Linked DNA regions of Drosophila melanogaster. The protein of the gene in region 4 interacts with the protein of the main gene of each other region in a pairwise test. Each region holds a gene or a part of one and is shown on either strand. Other genes may lie near its edges. The genes, in order: Drsl4, CG32579, Galk and CG11327.

Region 1 (2,699 bases), on a different chromosome or scaffold from region 4:
AAGAATGCGTAGTTTTTCTAATGGAAAATTAAAAATGGCTTATTAATAATCTGCCGACATTGATTTTATGCAATGTGCCATTTATCACGAGACTTCTAGGAAACTAATTAAACCAGTTTCATTAATTAAATTTATTCATAAATTGTAAAACTGTCGAGTTTGTTAGGAAAACCCAGAACCGGATTCAAACACCAAACTTGCACTTTTCGATGTAACACGGTTGATAATTTGTTGGAAATATTAACATGACAAGATTATCTTTATTTCCCATAAAGTGATATGGGTGCTGGTAAATGAAGATTTGTGTTCATAAATGAAAATGGCCTTTCCAACTCTTGTTAAGACTGAAATAGTCTATGCTTTTTTTTTCTTAAATGCTTATTATGAGTTGAATTATATATTCCACTTCTTTCTAAATGAATTTTAGCTTTCTATTGAAGTTAACTCTGATTATTTATCATTTAATTATTTCTTCCATTCCATTATAAATCTCATTTTCGAAGTAAATTTATGATTTTAAAAGGATTCGTTCTTTAAGTAGAAATAAAACTGTATTATTTGCTGTGAAGTATATTCTTTATTTTTCTTTTCAAAACAATAAAAAACATATGACACACATATGTGTCAAACATATTGGACGATGAGGATCCTCAGCATTGTTCGCACCAGCACTTCAGACTGGCACTGCAGTGTCCACTGACACGTCCTTCCTCCCTGCAGAGGCGACGGCACTGCTCTCCATCCCAGGCCCAGCAAGGACCACTGAATCTTCCAGATGGGCAATCCACGGCCGAAGCCGAGTTGGCCACCATTAGGACAATGGTCACCACAGCGAGGAGAGCAAACAATCCTTTAATTTGAGCCATTATTAGAATGTTCTTCTGGTTAAAATCTTTACTTTTGAGTTTCTTGAGTCCGACTGCACTCTTATATAGGTACAGAATTTGTATATTAACCGATTAGCATAAAGGTGAAAATGCAAATAACTGCAATATAACTTTCGAAAGGCATACTTTTGGGCCTTTTACGCGACAAAACGCGCATCGCTATTTTGGGATGATAGAATTGCTATACCTTCTTGATGTTGATGCACCTTTTTGTTTAATATACTTACCACATACATATTAAATCAAATCAAGAGATAACTCCTGAAAGGCAATGCTTACGTGCCTTTTACTGTGCGGTGTACAGTATATTTATTATTGGCTCAGAATAAACAAAAAAACAGCATGCACTTTTGAACTGCAGTGGATCTAGCATCCTTCGCACCAGCACTTCATTGCGCCACTGCAGTGTCCACTGACATGTCCCTCCTCAATGCAGAGACGGCGGCACTTTTCTCCACTCCAGGCCCAGCAAGGACCTCCGAAAGTTCCAGATAGGCAATCACGTGCCAAAACAGTGTTGGCCTCCATTAGGACAATGGTCATTACAGCAAGGATAGCAAACAGGAATATCATCTGCACCATGACAACTGATGTTTTCAACGAGTCGGGAATTTTACTTGAGTTCTTAAAGACTTTTGGCATCGACCACTCGTGGGGACGCTTATATAGAGATACAGATTTTAAGATTTTTTATTTGATCGTAGCAATCGATAAGCTTCTCGGAAATTCAAGCTAACAATAACCGATATAATCCTAGTTTTCCAGAAACACTTGATTTATGTGTGCCATGTGTCAACTTCATTGATTTAAAAATGCATCGTTATCATAATAAGTTATTTACCTAGAATTGCTATCTTTTCGATTTAATGATGTATGTAAACATTCACTTCTCCTAACACATTGCCATACAGGAAATTAAAAGACAACAGTGCGTATGAGTGATAAGCGTAAGAGGCCTTTATATTTATATATTATTTGTTTAGAATGAAATATTCAATATACACATTTCAAATGGATATAGTATGGATTCAGCATCCTTCGCACCAGCACTTCAGGCTGGGACTGCAGTGGCCACTGATATGTCCCTCCTCCTTGCAAATACGTCGGCACATCTCGTTGTCCCAGACGGCGCAGGGACCCTTGTATTTGCCGGAAAGGCAATCGGCATCAGCCATATTGGCGGCCAGGACAACAATTGTCATCACAGCCAGGAAGACGAAAAGGAATTTGATCTGCACCATTGCAACTGATGTTCCGAACGAGTCTGGTACTTTACTTGAGTTCTCGAAGACGTTTGGTATCGACAGCTTGTGGGGACGCTTATATAGGACTACACCACCTCCATGCATTTCCAATAATCTTTTTTAGCACGTTTCAAAATCTTTTGTGATGCATTTGCTCAGTGGCTAGGTGCCTCAACTTTGATGTCACACATGTGCTCCTATCTGAATTCGATAAGCTTCCAAGAAACTCGAGGCAGAGCTCGCAATCTTGCCCATTGCTGCAATCGATAAAATGAATCAGGGAATCAGGAAGTACCAGTGACCCCTGATTGTATCGAAAATTTCGACTCCAAAGAGGCATTTTATCAAATTGTATACAGTTAGTTCGCTTGGTCTAATTATGTTTGGCGTTTATTTACAAACATATACATCTGAAAATTAATGCAGATCATAAAATAATACATGATGTTTGCATTAAATGTATAGTCATTATAAAGTTCGATACGATTAAAATTAAATAGAAACTAGGTTCTCGGTTGTGGTAAAAACATTTACATATAGCATTACAACTACTAAGATTTAGGGACTA
Region 2 (4,197 bases), on a different chromosome or scaffold from region 4:
CAAAACATATCCATTCATTGTTTTTACATATATAGCATTTCATTTCCCAAACCCATACCCGATCCACTATGAAATAGTGAGATTACCATTTGCCTCCCTCAGTGAATTTAAATGAAAGAGATTAATACAAACCCAACTCGAATCAGAACCGCAAGCCACGCCATTTCATTAAACGGAAATAAAGCATTAGATAAACGCATGACAAAGGCCAGAAGAATTTCTGATTCAGAAGTAAAACTAGAAGGAAGTATAAGCATTGTTTACAATACTACATACATACATACATCAATTGGCAATTAATTACATAAATTAGAAGCACCAAACAAAAACGATATGGCTGGCTAGCCTGGAGCAGCAGCACCTTGGCATGCTTATCCCCGAAAGCGGTTGAACTATGGACACCTGTTCCACGGCTACATGCATATTAATATAAGCGAAGCAAAAGCTTAAAAACAGTGATTATCGTGCTCTTTGATTAATCGCTTTGGAATGCCAAAGTCAAAGCGTTGAGAAGGCGTTTTACAGATTCGGATTCGAGATATATAGCGGACGCCCAGACTTAGAACTAAGAAGACTTTTGTAGAGCGAATCGCAGGATTAGCAAAAAGATGCCCACATGGGTCCACACTTGATGGAATACCCGACTCCCTCCGCTGGCGGCAGCCGCAACGAGCGGCGATTTCTGATTGTCACGGCACATCGTTTGGTTCCGAATGAAGTTGAACATGGACTCGACGAGATTCGCCGGTGTTATGTCCGAGCATTGCTCCAGTTTACGGACCACACACGCCTGCAGAGTCAGCATCTCGTCGCACTGTTTCTGACCGACCGTCAGCTTGGGCATGCTCCTGATGCGGTTGTCCTGCAGATCCGACACGTTCAGGTACTCGGAGAACGTGCTGTTCACGCACTGCTGAATGTTGTCCTTCTGGGACTCAATGCATTCGGGTCCCTTTTCGGCAATGAACAGGGCTATCTGATCGCCATCCTTGTGGCACACAAAGTTGAGCAGACTCTGGATGATCTGCTTAATGACATCCTGGCCCTCGCGCTCCTCCTGCACCAGACAGGGCACCAGTTTGGCCGTGAACGCATCCACACACTCGACGGCATTCGAACGCCGGCTGCAGTACTTGTTGAAGACCACATCCAGTTCGCCCTTGGGCGACGCTTCCTGTATCTCCTGCTGCATTGCCGTGTAGTTGACAATGCCATTGAGGCACTCGGTTAGCACCATGAATCCGGACTCGATCTCGCCGTATGCCTCGACGCCCGCCTCCTCGCCGGCCACCTCGATGCATTTGTTGCGAAATAGCTCCTTGGCGTCGTTCACGCTAAAGTTTGACTTCCTCAGCTGGTCGGGCAGCTGGGTCTGGATCTGATCCAGGTCTAGCTGGGCCATTATGCCGGCAGTGGCGAATATAACCAGCCAAATGGCGTATATCGCATGGCTTACATATGTCCTGTGCATGATGTTTGCTGTATTTTTTGCACTCCTCTTTGTCTTTTTGCTTGCCTCCTCTTCCGTTATTCTCCTTTGCTCTGGTTTTTAAGCTCTGAGATTTGCACTTTTGTTTGTGATTCTATGCGCTTCAAGCAAACATATTTGTTCGTTTTGCGAAATATGCCTATGCCTTTGGGCAATTGGAAAAAATTAATTTAATTAGGAAATCACTGGATGGAAATCCCAATTGGAGATTCTATCCCACCCGTCGGCTAGAGATGGCACTTCGTCGATGACGCTTTCGATGCAACAGCTCACTATCGGCTTTCCGCCGATAAAAGCGTACGATCGATCTATCTCTAGTTCAAATGAACAAGTTCTCGTAGAATTCAGTCTTTATTCTAATCTTCAGTGTTTTGTTTTTTTTTTTAGTCGAAAACCAGTGTCAGCAAGTTGAAGGCGAGAGTAGTTTGGAGGTCGAGGCCTTGGATATTTGTGTGTGGCTAGGGTGGCACATGTGCAATAAGGAGGCGGAGGAGACATGGCCTCCGCGGAGCAAAGAACCGAAGTGGACGCCCTTATGATGGGGCCGATCTCGAAACTAAGCATGCTGCTCACTGTGGTGTCCATTCTGTGGCGCTTCGTCTCGATTTGCATCAACTGGAGCCTGGCGTACGTGTACTGGATGGAGGAGTCCTACGGATACTGCGCCTGGACCATTGGCTCCATTCTGGTGCCCATGGTGGTCACATCGGTCATATATATACATACGTATGTGACATATCGCGATAGCGTGTACTTCCCCCGAAATCTACAGCTAAACGATAAATTTGTATTTGAATTTCAGCTTGAAGAGCGCTCATGCCGGCGAAAAACGCATCCTGGAGCGAGGGGTGTACTCAAATGCTGTGATCTCATATCTCTTCCGCGATGTCTATGTCCTAAACTATGCGTTCAAATACTCGTTGGCCAAGGAGCGGGATGACAAGCAGGCGGAGATCGAGTGAGTAATGCTAGTGTCAGTGTATAAAACTAGTTAATAGTAGCTTAATGCCCTAAATGGTAGTACTGCCGTTTAGTTTATCTTCTCTTTTCATCATAAGTGAGCACTTTAGAATGTTTATAACGAATATCTGAATTCTTATCTTACAGATATTACCAAAAACTCATGACGGAGGAGTGCAATGTTAGTTTCGTTCGTCTATTCGACTCGTTTTTGGAATCAGCACCGCAGAAAATACTACAGCTGGCAATTCTTTTGCAATCGACATTGGAGTTCACATGTAATACGATATTAATACTACATTAGTGCCATATTTCAATCTCTCTCTCTCTCTGCCTTAATTAAGATAACTAATGCATAAGTAATTTAAGCTTATAAACACCAAATTCTGACGTTCACTTTCGCAAATCAAAGTCAGTTTAGGCGTTTAGCCTAACTCATTGATTGTAGCCAACGAAAGTGAAACTCGGAATGGAAAGTCGATGGATGCCATTTACCCATTCAAATTTCTTTTCCCAGACTACCGCCACATCGCCCTGATCGTCTACTTCGGCAACATAGCGTGGTGCATCCAGGCGTACAATCACTCCAATCGCCTGGCCCAACTGGACAAACATGATATTGCGGCGAAGGGACGATTTCTGCAATTTCTCTTCCTGCTCTGCCTCACTGGTTAGTAGTAGTTAGTTAGCTGTGTTGCTTAGAATGTGTATATTAAGCTTTTAGTTATTCGCTTTTATTTCGTAGTTTCGAGAACGCTTTGCATCGCGTATGTGGCCAGTATTTTTCCCATCGAAACGCTGATCATCTGCGCGACACTGGCTTGCTTTTACGGCACCATTGTGTTCTTTGTGGACTCGCCAATGATCGCAAAATCCCGCCCCATGAACTATTCGTACTGCCTGTGCTTTGGCGTTGTCTATCTATTTATTTTTACGCCCGTCAAGGATGCACCAACCAAATATAAGTACGCCTTCTATCTCACATTCTGTTTGTTGCAAAATATCATCGCCTGCGCTTTGTACATTCCCTTGTATCTTGCCACAGCCATCATTGCCTTGTATATTGTCGGAATTGTTCTGTTAATAATCTACTACACGTACTGCCATCCAAATACTGTGCGTACTTATTTTTAAAATTCTAGCATAATTAGTAGCATTTTGTATATTTGCAATAAACGTTGTTATGCCCACTTGTGATGCGCCTTTGATTTTCAATTGGCTTAAGCTGGTTTCAGATCTAATCTAATATCTAATATGCATTGTGTTTTTATTAGAGGATATATACATACATACATACACACATATGTATATGCAAATTTGATTTCATTTCTAGATTTTCTATCGATATTTGACCATCGATTAACTGATAGTTAGGTTTTAAATTTAGTTAGAACTTTTCTTTGTAGCGGAACATCAACTAAAGGATATATATAGATATATATAATATAAATGTGAACTATATGAATTGAATGTGACACAATATAGTCGCACATACATATATATGTACATACATCTATGTTTGTATTTAAGTGTCATTAAAAAGATGTCATATTTATGTGTTAATCCCGTGTACTTAATTTGAAGCGCTTACTAAATATTTTTCAAATGCAATGCCTTTCTGTTCAACTAGTTCCCAAATATTGATCAGCAAATGCATCATAATTGAATCGATCATTCCAGATGCGCATGCGCAACGCGCCAAGATGATGGAGTCGCGTATCTGAACTGGCGCATCTGGAACCAGTTGG
Region 3 (6,353 bases), on a different chromosome or scaffold from region 4:
ATTCTCGGCGCTCAGAAGCGGCGCTTTGAGCGAGATTCGAAAATCGGTTGACTCACAGACTTGAGTTCAACTCGTTTTTGTGGCATTCAACGGCAAGCGAATAAAAGTTCGCCGTCTCGATATTCTATGATCAGTTTACAGTCTCAACTTCACCCAGGTGTTCCAGTTTCATTTGAAGTGCTTCTCTCGAGGATTAGCCGTTGAAATAAGTCCAGATCAAAGTGAGTGAGTGTCGTGTGTTTGTGCGAGTGGGTGCTTTTTGGAGAACCGAAATCCGATTCGGTTGTGTGGGATCGTAACCTTGACTTTGGCTGAATCAACGTATCAATTTGGACTTGGAATATGTAAATGCATTTAATGGCGCATAATAAAAATGCATGTACAGTGGCTGTGATCATTAAAAAGTAGAAAGGTTTAAAGAGTGTATAATCTAATAACGAATGTCACATTTTCAAGGATTATATCAGGGTTTCAGTTCGAAGTGAATATATCAAAGCCTAAAAAGGATGATCATGATTTAAATCAATTTCATTGCTAACGTATTCTTAATTAATACATTTGGTAAATGCATCTTCGATAATGTCATTATAACGTAAAATAAAAAATAATATTTTCACCAATCCTTATAGCAAATTACCCAATTGCAATTAAAATCTCAAAAGAGTTCTAGAGAGACCACTGTACTTATATCTCAAGCTACGATTGCTTTGTTGCGACCAAATTGGAGCACTCTACGCTTGACAAATAAAGCTCGCCATTTAGTTCGCGGCCAGTCCAATTCTTATCAATAAAAAAAAGCCAGTTCCAAGTTGCAAAAAAGTTCATGGATTAGCAACTGTAACAGTTTGAGCCAAGATCTCCGCGTTGCCCACTCCATTGGCCATATGCGATAATTGATTTTCCCGTACATAATTTATGACGCACGAAACTGACAGCCGACTTGTAGATTAAAAACTGCCACTGACCAGCGGCAATAAATCTGTCCGTATCGCTTTATTAGAACGTTGGACAATAATGCCAGCTCCTGCTCCTTTTCTCCCCTCCAGCAGCCAATCATGCCGACCGCCTGCCAAGTAACGCTGCTCGCTGGATGCCTGCTTCTGGCCATGAGTTCGGTTCGGGCCCAGTTCTTCTACCACCAGGCGCTGGGTCTGCCGGTTGCGCACGCTTACGAACCGGCCAATCCGTACCAGGGATATGCAACAGCCGATGCCCATCCCTCGGTGGTGCGAAATGCCCAGTGGGAGTCTGAGTTGCCGGCTGAGCTGTCGAAGAGTGCGCGGTTCTACAATGATCCCGTGATCGCTGCCAATCTGGCCAAGGAATCACTGCTCACGAAGAAGGAAATGGCAGTGGTACATCGTGAGGCGGAGAAAATACCGCGCGAACAGGTGTACAAGCTCTTCAAGAACGCCGGCTATCTGAGTAGCAGATAGAACTCACGATGCCAGATGAGTTCCGTTCCCCACGTGCCTTGTTGTATTTTAGCTTGTAAATTGTTAATATATTGTACATAGTACTCTACATATTAAATGTTTTTTCTATAAATGACCGTTTGATTATAGTGACTGATAGGATGATTTTGGTATAAAAGTTGGATTAAAATGCTACACAAGCGTTCACTGTATATACAACTCGGCTCCGTTTCCTGGTAGAGTGGCAAAGACCACTTCGCTAAAGTTGTTGGGCTGATGACGCTCCAGGAGATGTGTTGGCAATTGAGCATAGTAATCGCGCTTCAAAACCTTTATGTACTCATCAGCTGCTTCTATGGAATCGCACATGGCAACTATACAACCGCCCCAACTGAAAAAGAATAATGTTGATTAAATTCATAGAGTCACTAGGATATCGGTTTTCTTACCCAGCTCCAGTGACTCGGGCGCTAACGTTCTGCTGGTTCGATATGGCAATCAGGCGCTCTACATCAGGATGAGAGCATTCGTATAGCTCCCTTAAACTCTCGTGGGATTGCCGCATGAGCTCACCCAGCTGTTTTGCACCTTCCTTATTGGCTCCGCCGGCGAGTTCCTCACAAATTTTCCGGAATTTGGCCACGCGACCGGATTCTGTTAGGCGGAAACAATGTTATTAACTGATCTTGCAATTTAATATTATTTGCTAAGAGTTTAAATCTTTCGGACAACAAATGAATGTCAACGTATTATTAATTGACTGTAATTATTCATTTGGTGATCAATAAATTTAATGTACACGTAATGATTCAGATTAAATGTGAAATCCTGATTGTAAATGATTAACTTACCCTGAATAACATGCAGAGCACGTTGACGCAGCTTGAACTGCTCCATGTGCCGAGTGTTGGCGGATAGGAACTTGGTCTCCAGTTCCTGTTCGGTGACTCCCAACTCCTTGCAGATATCCGCTCGCGTGTAGTTGCTCTTCGTTAAGTTGTCCTTAATCAACTTCTCGAAAGTCTCATTATCCATTTGGCACGCCTCCTCTAGATCAATGAAGCGCACAATATCCTCCCAGTTGATCAAGCCCTTGCGCTTGGCCAGCCATCTAGTGGCCAATCGGCATTCCACCACTCGTTCATTGTAGTCCGACGAAGCAGCCTTGTTCTTTTGAGCCAGACTGTTGGCCACAACGAAGCACTTGCCCGCTGGCAAGGTCACCGGAGTGCCCTTGAGCTTGGGATGGAACTCGATGTGGTGGGCGCAGCCAACTCTGCCCAAATAGGCTATTGCCTGATCCATACCACCACTGTGCGTTCCAATGTACTGCTCACACATGGCCGAAATGGAAGCCAGCTCCCTGCGATCTAGTTTCTTGCCCTGGACGTGTGCGGTGGCCAACACAGCGGAGCTGACCATGGCACTCGAACTGGAGAGTCCTGCCGCCAAGGGCACATTACCGTCCACAGCAATGCGCATGCCAATGGGCTTCCACTGGCTGCCCAGACTCTCCTGTATTCCTTTGATGCCGCACAAGAAGTAGTTATACCAAGCGGGTCCACCACTCTTTGGAAGCTCGATTCTAAAATAGCAAAAAAATATTTGGACTTATCATTTCTAAATTCGTTTAGATACCGCCTTCAAGGTGACATTGTTATTATAACAAATTAAATGGAAAATTTTCTAGTGCTTAAGGTCGGTAATTATCATGTTTCTGATTCACCCACCTGAGCGTTTTGAGATCGGCATCGTAGCCCGTAAACTTCGCTTCCTCGAGATTTCTGAGTTGAAGCTGGCTATCACTAGGATTCTTGGCCACTGCAAGGAAAATGCTCTGGCTTACAGCCATGGGCAGCACCGAATAGCCGCAGTAGTCCACATGCTCGCCAATGATGTTGACCCTAGGAGAAGGAGGAGATATCATCGATAAGGGACTATAGATGTGCACCACGAGTGGAACTGCTCACCTTCCTGGCACTCGAACGATAAAGTCCGGATTCGCTCCGAATTGTTGTTTGAAAAATGCGGTCAATTGCTGCACGCGCCCGTAAACCTTGGATTCCGGCTGGAGCTTCTGTGGGGCCACGATTTCAATGCCGGCACCCAAATCCTGAGCAGTTCCGTTCCCGTTGGCAGTCATGTTCACCTGCAGGCGGGTGAAACTTTAATAATGCCCATTATTTTCGCAGTCGACGAACCGTAAACGTGTCGCAACTGGTTAATCTAAATTTATGGGCAAAAACAAATTTACATACGTAAACAAATAGCCGTGGCAAAGGGAAAAACAATTGCACCTGTGGTTGTGCAAAAATTAGCTTATCAACCCATCTCACCTTATCAATATGTCCAAATAGCTATTAGCACACAAAGTGATGTACTAACATTGCGGTTATCAGTTGGGGAAACGGCATCAAAGTCACTAAAACATTAGATTGACGCCAATTTGACCGCTTAATTGGGCAAAAAACAAGTACAAAAGTGCAATTTCTGCCGGTAAATGAAAAGGAAGGGTGTGCGGGAGCGAGAGGACTATAGCCAACAGCTGTTATTTAGGAGTTGCCAGGCTTGCAGAAGCATTAACCCTTGAAATGCGCAATGGATAAAGATTTTATTTTGAATATTTATCCGCGAAATTGATGTTTATGTCTAGTCCCAACTAATAGTAAATTATTTGGCAATAAAGTTCTTAGCTGGTAATTGTTTTTCAAAAGTACTACCGCTTAAACTTACTGCCGCATAATCTAAATAGACCATTAATGACAAACATGACATTTATCTTATCTCGAAACCATAAACTTAACCTGTATTGAGCTTACCTTTTGTTTACATACCAGAATAAACACAGATATAAAGGATTTTGTCAAGATTTTTACACTTTTGCCGATACATACCCAACAATGCCTTATCTTTCTCTGTTTGAGGTCAAATTAACTTGGTGCCGTCTTATCAGAGAGGAGTTCTAGTTTTCGGTGTGAGCACGTCGCGTTCCATCAAGCAACTGAGCAATCCGGCCCGTTCCGTTTCCGTTTTTGCTTAGTCCGGAATACTATGAACAATAAAGTGATACTTCCTTATCAGTAGCATTACTGAAATATAAATGCTCGGAGACCTTATAGAACACCAGTTTCCCAGCTAGCGATGTTGCACTGTGTGTATCAGTAGGAACTTGTTGAGAGCTTTGTTAGTTTATAACTAGCTGTCTTTACCGTTAAATGGGTCAAACATCTTCATAGCATATGAATTCTTTCTTGTTAGCATTCTAAAAAACTGGTTTCCAAATTTTGTCTGCTTTAAAAAGTGGTTTTGACATCCACTTTGCGAAAGGTTATTACCTTGCTTATTATTTTGCCATTAATGTGAAGTATTTACAAAGCTGATAAGGTACAAGTGTTTCGGGGAGCTCATCAATTTTTTCGTAGATAAACTTTTAAAATACTTAATTGATTAAAATGTACAAACATTAAAATATACAACTGTTGTTGTTTCAGTATGGTACGGATTTTCGTCTTTGATTGCAAAAGCCTAAAATATCCGTTTTGGAATTTGAAATGTTGACTGTTGCGGTTAGGCGTTGCCAGACAAGGGCATTGCCAAGTGCAGCTCTTGAACCAGCGCTGCCAGCTGGCGTCAGTTACGGTTTTCTCGATTACGGTCACACTGCAATACTTCTTCGTTGAATTGGAACTATTTTTTTGTTTTCGAAAACGGATAATTGCGAGCAACGACTGTGTGAATAACCACTTGCACCTGCACCGTAGGAGCACCACCTGTTGACCCCACAGCGAAGACAATCGGATCAATGTCGAGTTTACAGCGCACGATGTTGAAGGGCAAGCTGCCACCCACAATTCCTGGCGGGCGCATTGGCAGAGCGTAAGTGCAGGGTATTCTGCGACTGGAGTGGGGAGTACGCAATCTCTACCCAATTTGGCTAATTACAGGGACTCGTTCAAGAAGTCGCGCATTCGCGACTACAAGCCGGGCATGTGGAACGAATTCTTTGCGGAGAAGGAGGACGTCACGGTGGATGAGCAACGCACCTTCCGCATCTATCGCACCAAGCAACCGGAGAAGCCGGGTCCAGTTCTCCTTCTGCTCCACGGCGGTGGCTACTCTGCCCTCACCTGGGCGCACTTTTGTGTGAGTGAATGCGATATATTCTGTTAAATAGTCTTAACATGTACATATATCCATTTAAGTCTGAGGTGACCAGCATGATCCACTGCCAGTGCCTGTGCATCGATATGCGAGGTCATGGGGACAGCAAGGTGGACGACGAGGACGATCTCTCCGCTGATACGTTGGCTAAGTGAGTTGAATCCAAAAAAATATTGTTCTCAAAATATGTTTTAGAGATGGTTATGCAAATTTTTCTACTGCTTACATTAAAAACCAATATTTTTAAGATTTTGTCGAGTAAAACTTCTCGCATTAACTCTTAGCTTTATGAACGATTAGGCTAAACTTGCATAATCTCTTTATTTATAAAAATAGCGCACTGCACTTAAAGTAGGTCGATCTATTTGAACGATCACTCATTTGTAAATATTATTTAGTTTTTTATAGTTACTTTATTCACGGTTGAAGCTAAAAACCATAATAATCTAATCTATAATCTATAATAATGTTTAAAATATTCTAAACAGGGACATCGGTGACTTAATCCTGAAGCTCTATCCTGAAGAAGTGCCGCAGCTTTTTGTGGTTGGCCACTCGATGGGCGGCGCCATCGCCGTCCACTTTGCCCACATGGCTCTGGTGCCCAATTTGATTGGAATAACCGTCATCGATGTTGTGGAGGGCACAGCCATGGAGGCACTAGCCAGCATGCAGAGCTTTCTGCGCTCCCGTCCAAAGTATTTCCAGAGTATTCCGAATGCTATCGAGTGGTGCATCCGAAGCGGCCAAGTGCGCAATGTGGACAGCGCCAAAGTG
Region 4 (4,338 bases):
GGTGTTCATGTGTCCGGATGGAACCGTTTGTGACCGCAATGCCGTGTGCCTTAGGATGGATAACATCCGCCACAAGTGTCACTGCAATGTGGGATGGGCGGGCAACGGTTTGATTTGCGGTAGGGATACCGACGTAGATGGATGGCCAGATCAGGCAATCGGTTGTCCAGAGCTGCGCTGTCAGCGAGACAACTGCCCGAAGTTGCCTAATTCAGGCCAGGAGGACGCCGATCTGGATGGACATGGCGATGGGTGCGACGACGATGCCGATGGCGACAATGTCCAGAACAGCCAAGACAACTGCTGGCTGGCCTACAACACCGAGCAGCTGGACTCGGATGGAGACAAGGTGGGCGATGTGTGCGACAACTGCGTGCTTAAGTACAATCCCAGGCAGTTGGACACGGACGAGGATGGACTGGGAGACGAGTGCGATGGTGATATCGACAACGACTCCATACCAAATGCGCTAGACAACTGTCCGCTGCTGCCGAATCCCAGTCAGTCGGACGTGGACAACGATGGTGTGGGCGACGCTTGCGATAACTGTCCGAATCTTCCGAATCCCGACCAAAAGGATCGCGACATGGACTTTGTAGGCGATGCCTGTCACAGAGACATCGACGGGGATGATGATGGAGTTCCAAACTCGCTGGACAACTGCCCAATGGTCAGTAACTCGGACCAGCTGGACACTGACGGTGATGGAACGGGCGATGAGTGCGATGACGACATGGACGGAGATGGGATACCCAACTACAAGGACAACTGTCCGCTGGCCAAGAACCCAAAGCAGGACGACTTCAATCGGAATGGCAAGGGTGACTCTTGCGAAGATGATGAGGACGTAGATGGTGTACCGAATGGCATGGACAACTGCCCGAACAACTCGATGATTCATCACACTGACTTTCGCACTCTTCAAACCATTCCACTGGATCCCAAAGGCCTATCGCAAGCGGATCCCAACTGGGTGGTACACGCCAATGGCACCGAGATAGTCCAGACCCTCAATTCGGATCCGGGACTAGCGGTGGGCAAGGACGCCTTCGGAGGCGTTGACTTCGACGGCACCTTTTATATCAACGATGACACGGACGATGACTACGCTGGCTTTGTGTTCAGCTACCAGAGCAGCTACAAGTACTACGTGGTGCAGTGGAAGAAGGGCACCCAAACCTACTGGGAGCCACGACCCTTCACCGCCTCTGCGGCGCCGGGCATCCAGATCAAGCTGGTCAACAGCACCGAGGGTCCGGGCCCAATGATGAGGAACAGCCTGTGGCACGAGGGAAACACCGACGGTGAGGCCAGGCTGCTGTGGAAGGATCCGAAGAACATTGCGTGGAAGGAAAGGACCTCCTACCGCTGGTCCCTGGTGCATCGACCGGCCATCGGCCTCATCCGCCTGCAGTGAGTGATGGCACCATGACAGGGTTCCCATGTCTTCATTCTCCTTCTACCCACAGAATGCACGAGGGTAACCGCCTGATCTTCGACTCGGGCAATGTGTTTGACTCCACGCTGAAGGGCGGTCGGCTGGGCGTGTTCTGCTTCTCACAGAGGATGATTATATGGTCCAACCTGCAGTACAAGTGCAATAGTAAGGGAAATCGAAACAAAGTGGTAACTTCAACTGAACTAAACTTTTTTCTATGCTTTTCAAAACAGATCGTGTGAAGCCGCTGATCTACAATGATCTGTCCGACTATCTCAAGACGAAGGTGGAGTTGCAGGACTGAGGGGAATCGCAATCCTCAGAGCCATTAACGTCTTTTCTGCCATCAATTCTAACCAAATTATGTATTAATGCTACCACTAAGTTAATAAATGAGTTGCCAATCCAGTTGGCCATTGGAGCCGCGTTTTCCAACACAAAAATGAACTGAATCAAGTTGGCCTGGCTGCACGTGAAATCAGGAGACATTGCCTGTCAATCCATTTAGTTCAATTGCCACAGTTAGGCGAACACACTTTCGCTAGGGAACGTTTTGATCACCGAAATAAGGGAAAACCCATGTTGAAAACATTGATATAATATTTCACGGATGTCGAACTAGTTAACCAGGTTAAATTCAGTCAGTCTTGCGTAAATTTATAAAGGGTAAGTTGGAGCACAGTGCTCTACCAAATTGTGCTGACCTCATTCATTTATGCGTCCAAATAGCCACGATGGCCAGCCGCAATGTGCAAGCAACTCCATCCCAGGAAGAGCTGAAGCGGACTGAGAACAACAAGAATGTGAAAAACTCCGAAGAATGTCAATCAATGGAAAACGATGTGGACGCGGTTGTCCCATCTTCGTCGGAGAGTGAGCTGCGGCCTCGCAGTTCGGGAGTTAGGCCCACTAAAATTCCGGCTCCACTTTTCTTGGGACCCAGTGCCAGCAGCCGGATCTACAGTTCACTGATGCCCGAGAGAAAGCGACGCTCCTCCATGGAAAGTCAACAGATGGCCGACGATTCTGGCATCAATTTGGATTGCTCCACGGACGAGCAGCAGACTACGCTGTCGGCCAGACCGAGTCCAATGCTGCAGCCGATGCTCGACAGGATTCCGGACACTAGCAGCGAGTTGGAGCTCCGACTGGCAGAGGAGCAGACTCTCAAGGAACTTCAACGCGTCGTCGCCGAAATGGAGGCTGATGTGGCTTTTAATAATTTAGATATGCAAAATCTACTGCCCGATGATATTGACCAGGATACACAGGTGCAATATGACGCCACTGATGTGGATACACAGTTGCAAAATGAAGCCTCTGATGTGGAGAATGGTGCCGAGTCTTCCGGACTAGATATGGAACAGCTGACAGGAAACGATATTCAGCAGGAAACACTTCCTGAAACACAACCCGAAGAACTTATACCAGGAAATGTACAGATGGTGGAAAAAGAAATTGCACCGAAAGGGGAATTTCCAGAAATAAAGGAAACTGCCGTGGAAATAGAATCTTTAAAGGAATTCGAAATTGTCCAGCATTTGGGCGAAGAGCCAATAGATGAACACACAGAGATCGTCCAAGAGACCCCGCAAGATCCTACAGACGTAGAATCCGAGAAATCTGTACCCGAATCGGATATGGAGGAACTCGAAACGTTAATTAATGAAAGTAGCGAGTCCGAAGAGGACAGGCTTGTTCGTGAACAATTCGAGAAATACCCTGAAACATTGGAGCCCATGTTTCATCCAACGGCGGATGAGATTGTGTGCATTGACTCGGTCCCGGAACTGGCCGACCATCCCTCACTAGATGGGTCGGTGCAAAACGGTCGCGAGATGGTTACTTTGGATGAACTATTTGATCCGGAGTACAATGTGCACCTAATGCGCCAACTTTTGCAGGCCAGAATAGAAGAGAATAGCGAAGTTGAAACAGCTCCAGACTTGATAGAAAGTGAGCAAGCGGAAGAAAGGGAGACGCTGACGGGCCCGGAGGCGGAAATCGATATGGAGGAGGAAACGGATCCGGACCTAAAACAAACTGGCAAGCCCTTGAGTTTCTTGAGGCGTCTAGTCAACCACAGAATCCTTAAGCTTAGCTATCCCATATTGTTCTGCAGCTTGGCTTTCAGTTTGGTCTATATAATTCGCAAGGAGTAGAAGTTCACTATTCTAGAAATGCAAATTGGATAATGCGAACTTGCGAGAGCATACGTTTCACTACGGTATATCTTAGGAAACACTTCAAAATCGCCCGACGCATTGGCATAGTTGGGTTGCTTTAAATATCTATTTTCCAAATAAATATCCACAATATCACGGCCGCACTGTTTGTAATTTGTATAATTTGTATGTATATTTGAATTAAAGCGCCAATTACTTAACATTCTTTTTGAAACGAGCGCTAGGTGGCGCCTTTGTCAGGTCATACTCTTGTTGGCTAGGGCAGGGTAACGGTTATCGATAACCGGAAACTGCACCTGCCCGTTTACTGTTTTCCCGGAATAATTACCGATGGAGGAACGGCGGAATTCTAAACATGGGGAATTTTTTATTTATTTTTTTTTTTTTGAATGTATAGAGGAATCGTGAAAAATAGCAATGATACGAACTTACAGATCTAACTATGTCGGTGGGACACGGAGAGACTGGTCGGCGGGACTAGTACTAGACGACGGGAAAGAAAATTAATAAATGAAAAGGCTAATTTGACGCAATTCCCGGAATAATAGTTTTTACTTGGAAAATAGTTTGGGATTATTGCAAGTTTTAGTTTTACATAACTATTATATTGAATACAAATATCTTTACTGAACCGCTCCTGTTCAAAGGCAATATTTTTTCGCGTGCTAGCGTGCGGTCACACTGCAGTCGCATACGGTTGTTTCCATATGAACG

What was found.
Region 1: the proteins of CG11327 (region 4) and Drsl4 interact in a two-hybrid assay, tested with the Drosophila melanogaster proteins (one large-scale study listed by BioGRID).
Region 2: the proteins of CG11327 (region 4) and CG32579 interact in a two-hybrid assay, tested with the Drosophila melanogaster proteins (one large-scale study listed by BioGRID).
Region 3: the proteins of CG11327 (region 4) and Galk interact in a two-hybrid assay, tested with the Drosophila melanogaster proteins (one large-scale study listed by BioGRID).

What each region holds. Positions count from the first base shown.
Region 1 is NT_037436.4:3,313,804-3,316,502, reverse strand, and holds Drsl4 (Drosomycin-like 4), read right to left. Parts: upstream 884-2,699; 5' UTR 867-883; coding exon 651-866; 3' UTR 561-650; downstream 1-560. Other genes in the region: Drsl3 (Drosomycin-like 3), read right to left, coding at 1,254-1,469; Drsl2 (Drosomycin-like 2), read right to left, coding at 1,916-2,128.
Region 2 is NC_004354.4:16,321,483-16,325,679, forward strand, and holds CG32579 (uncharacterized protein), read left to right. Parts: upstream 1-1,803; 5' UTR 1,804-1,985; coding exon 1,986-2,215; intron 2,216-2,291; coding exon 2,292-2,447; intron 2,448-2,596; coding exon 2,597-2,727; intron 2,728-2,966; coding exon 2,967-3,119; intron 3,120-3,173; coding exon 3,174-3,583; 3' UTR 3,584-3,638; downstream 3,639-4,197. Other genes in the region: CG9917 (uncharacterized protein), read right to left, coding at 566-1,471.
Region 3 is NT_037436.4:8,981,668-8,988,020, forward strand, and holds Galk (galactokinase), read right to left. Parts: upstream 4,425-6,353; 5' UTR 4,310-4,424; intron 4,150-4,309; exon of another isoform or gene 3,752-4,149; intron 3,642-3,751; exon of another isoform or gene 3,565-3,641; 5' UTR 3,559-3,564; coding exon 3,386-3,558; intron 3,320-3,385; coding exon 3,146-3,319; intron 3,001-3,145; coding exon 2,267-3,000; intron 2,070-2,266; coding exon 1,865-2,069; intron 1,807-1,864; coding exon 1,620-1,806; 3' UTR 1,437-1,619; coding exon of another isoform or gene 1,056-1,436; 3' UTR 545-1,055; downstream 1-544. Other genes in the region: CG13314 (uncharacterized protein), read left to right, coding at 1,056-1,436; CG5068 (uncharacterized protein), read left to right, coding at 5,218-5,291, 5,360-5,558, 5,618-5,727, 6,065-6,353.
Region 4 is NT_033779.5:6,684,329-6,688,666, reverse strand, and holds CG11327 (uncharacterized protein), read left to right. Parts: upstream 1-1,954; 5' UTR 1,955-2,104; intron 2,105-2,167; 5' UTR 2,168-2,172; coding exon 2,173-3,600; 3' UTR 3,601-3,825; downstream 3,826-4,338. Other genes in the region: Tsp (thrombospondin), read left to right, coding at 1-1,413, 1,470-1,603, 1,672-1,742.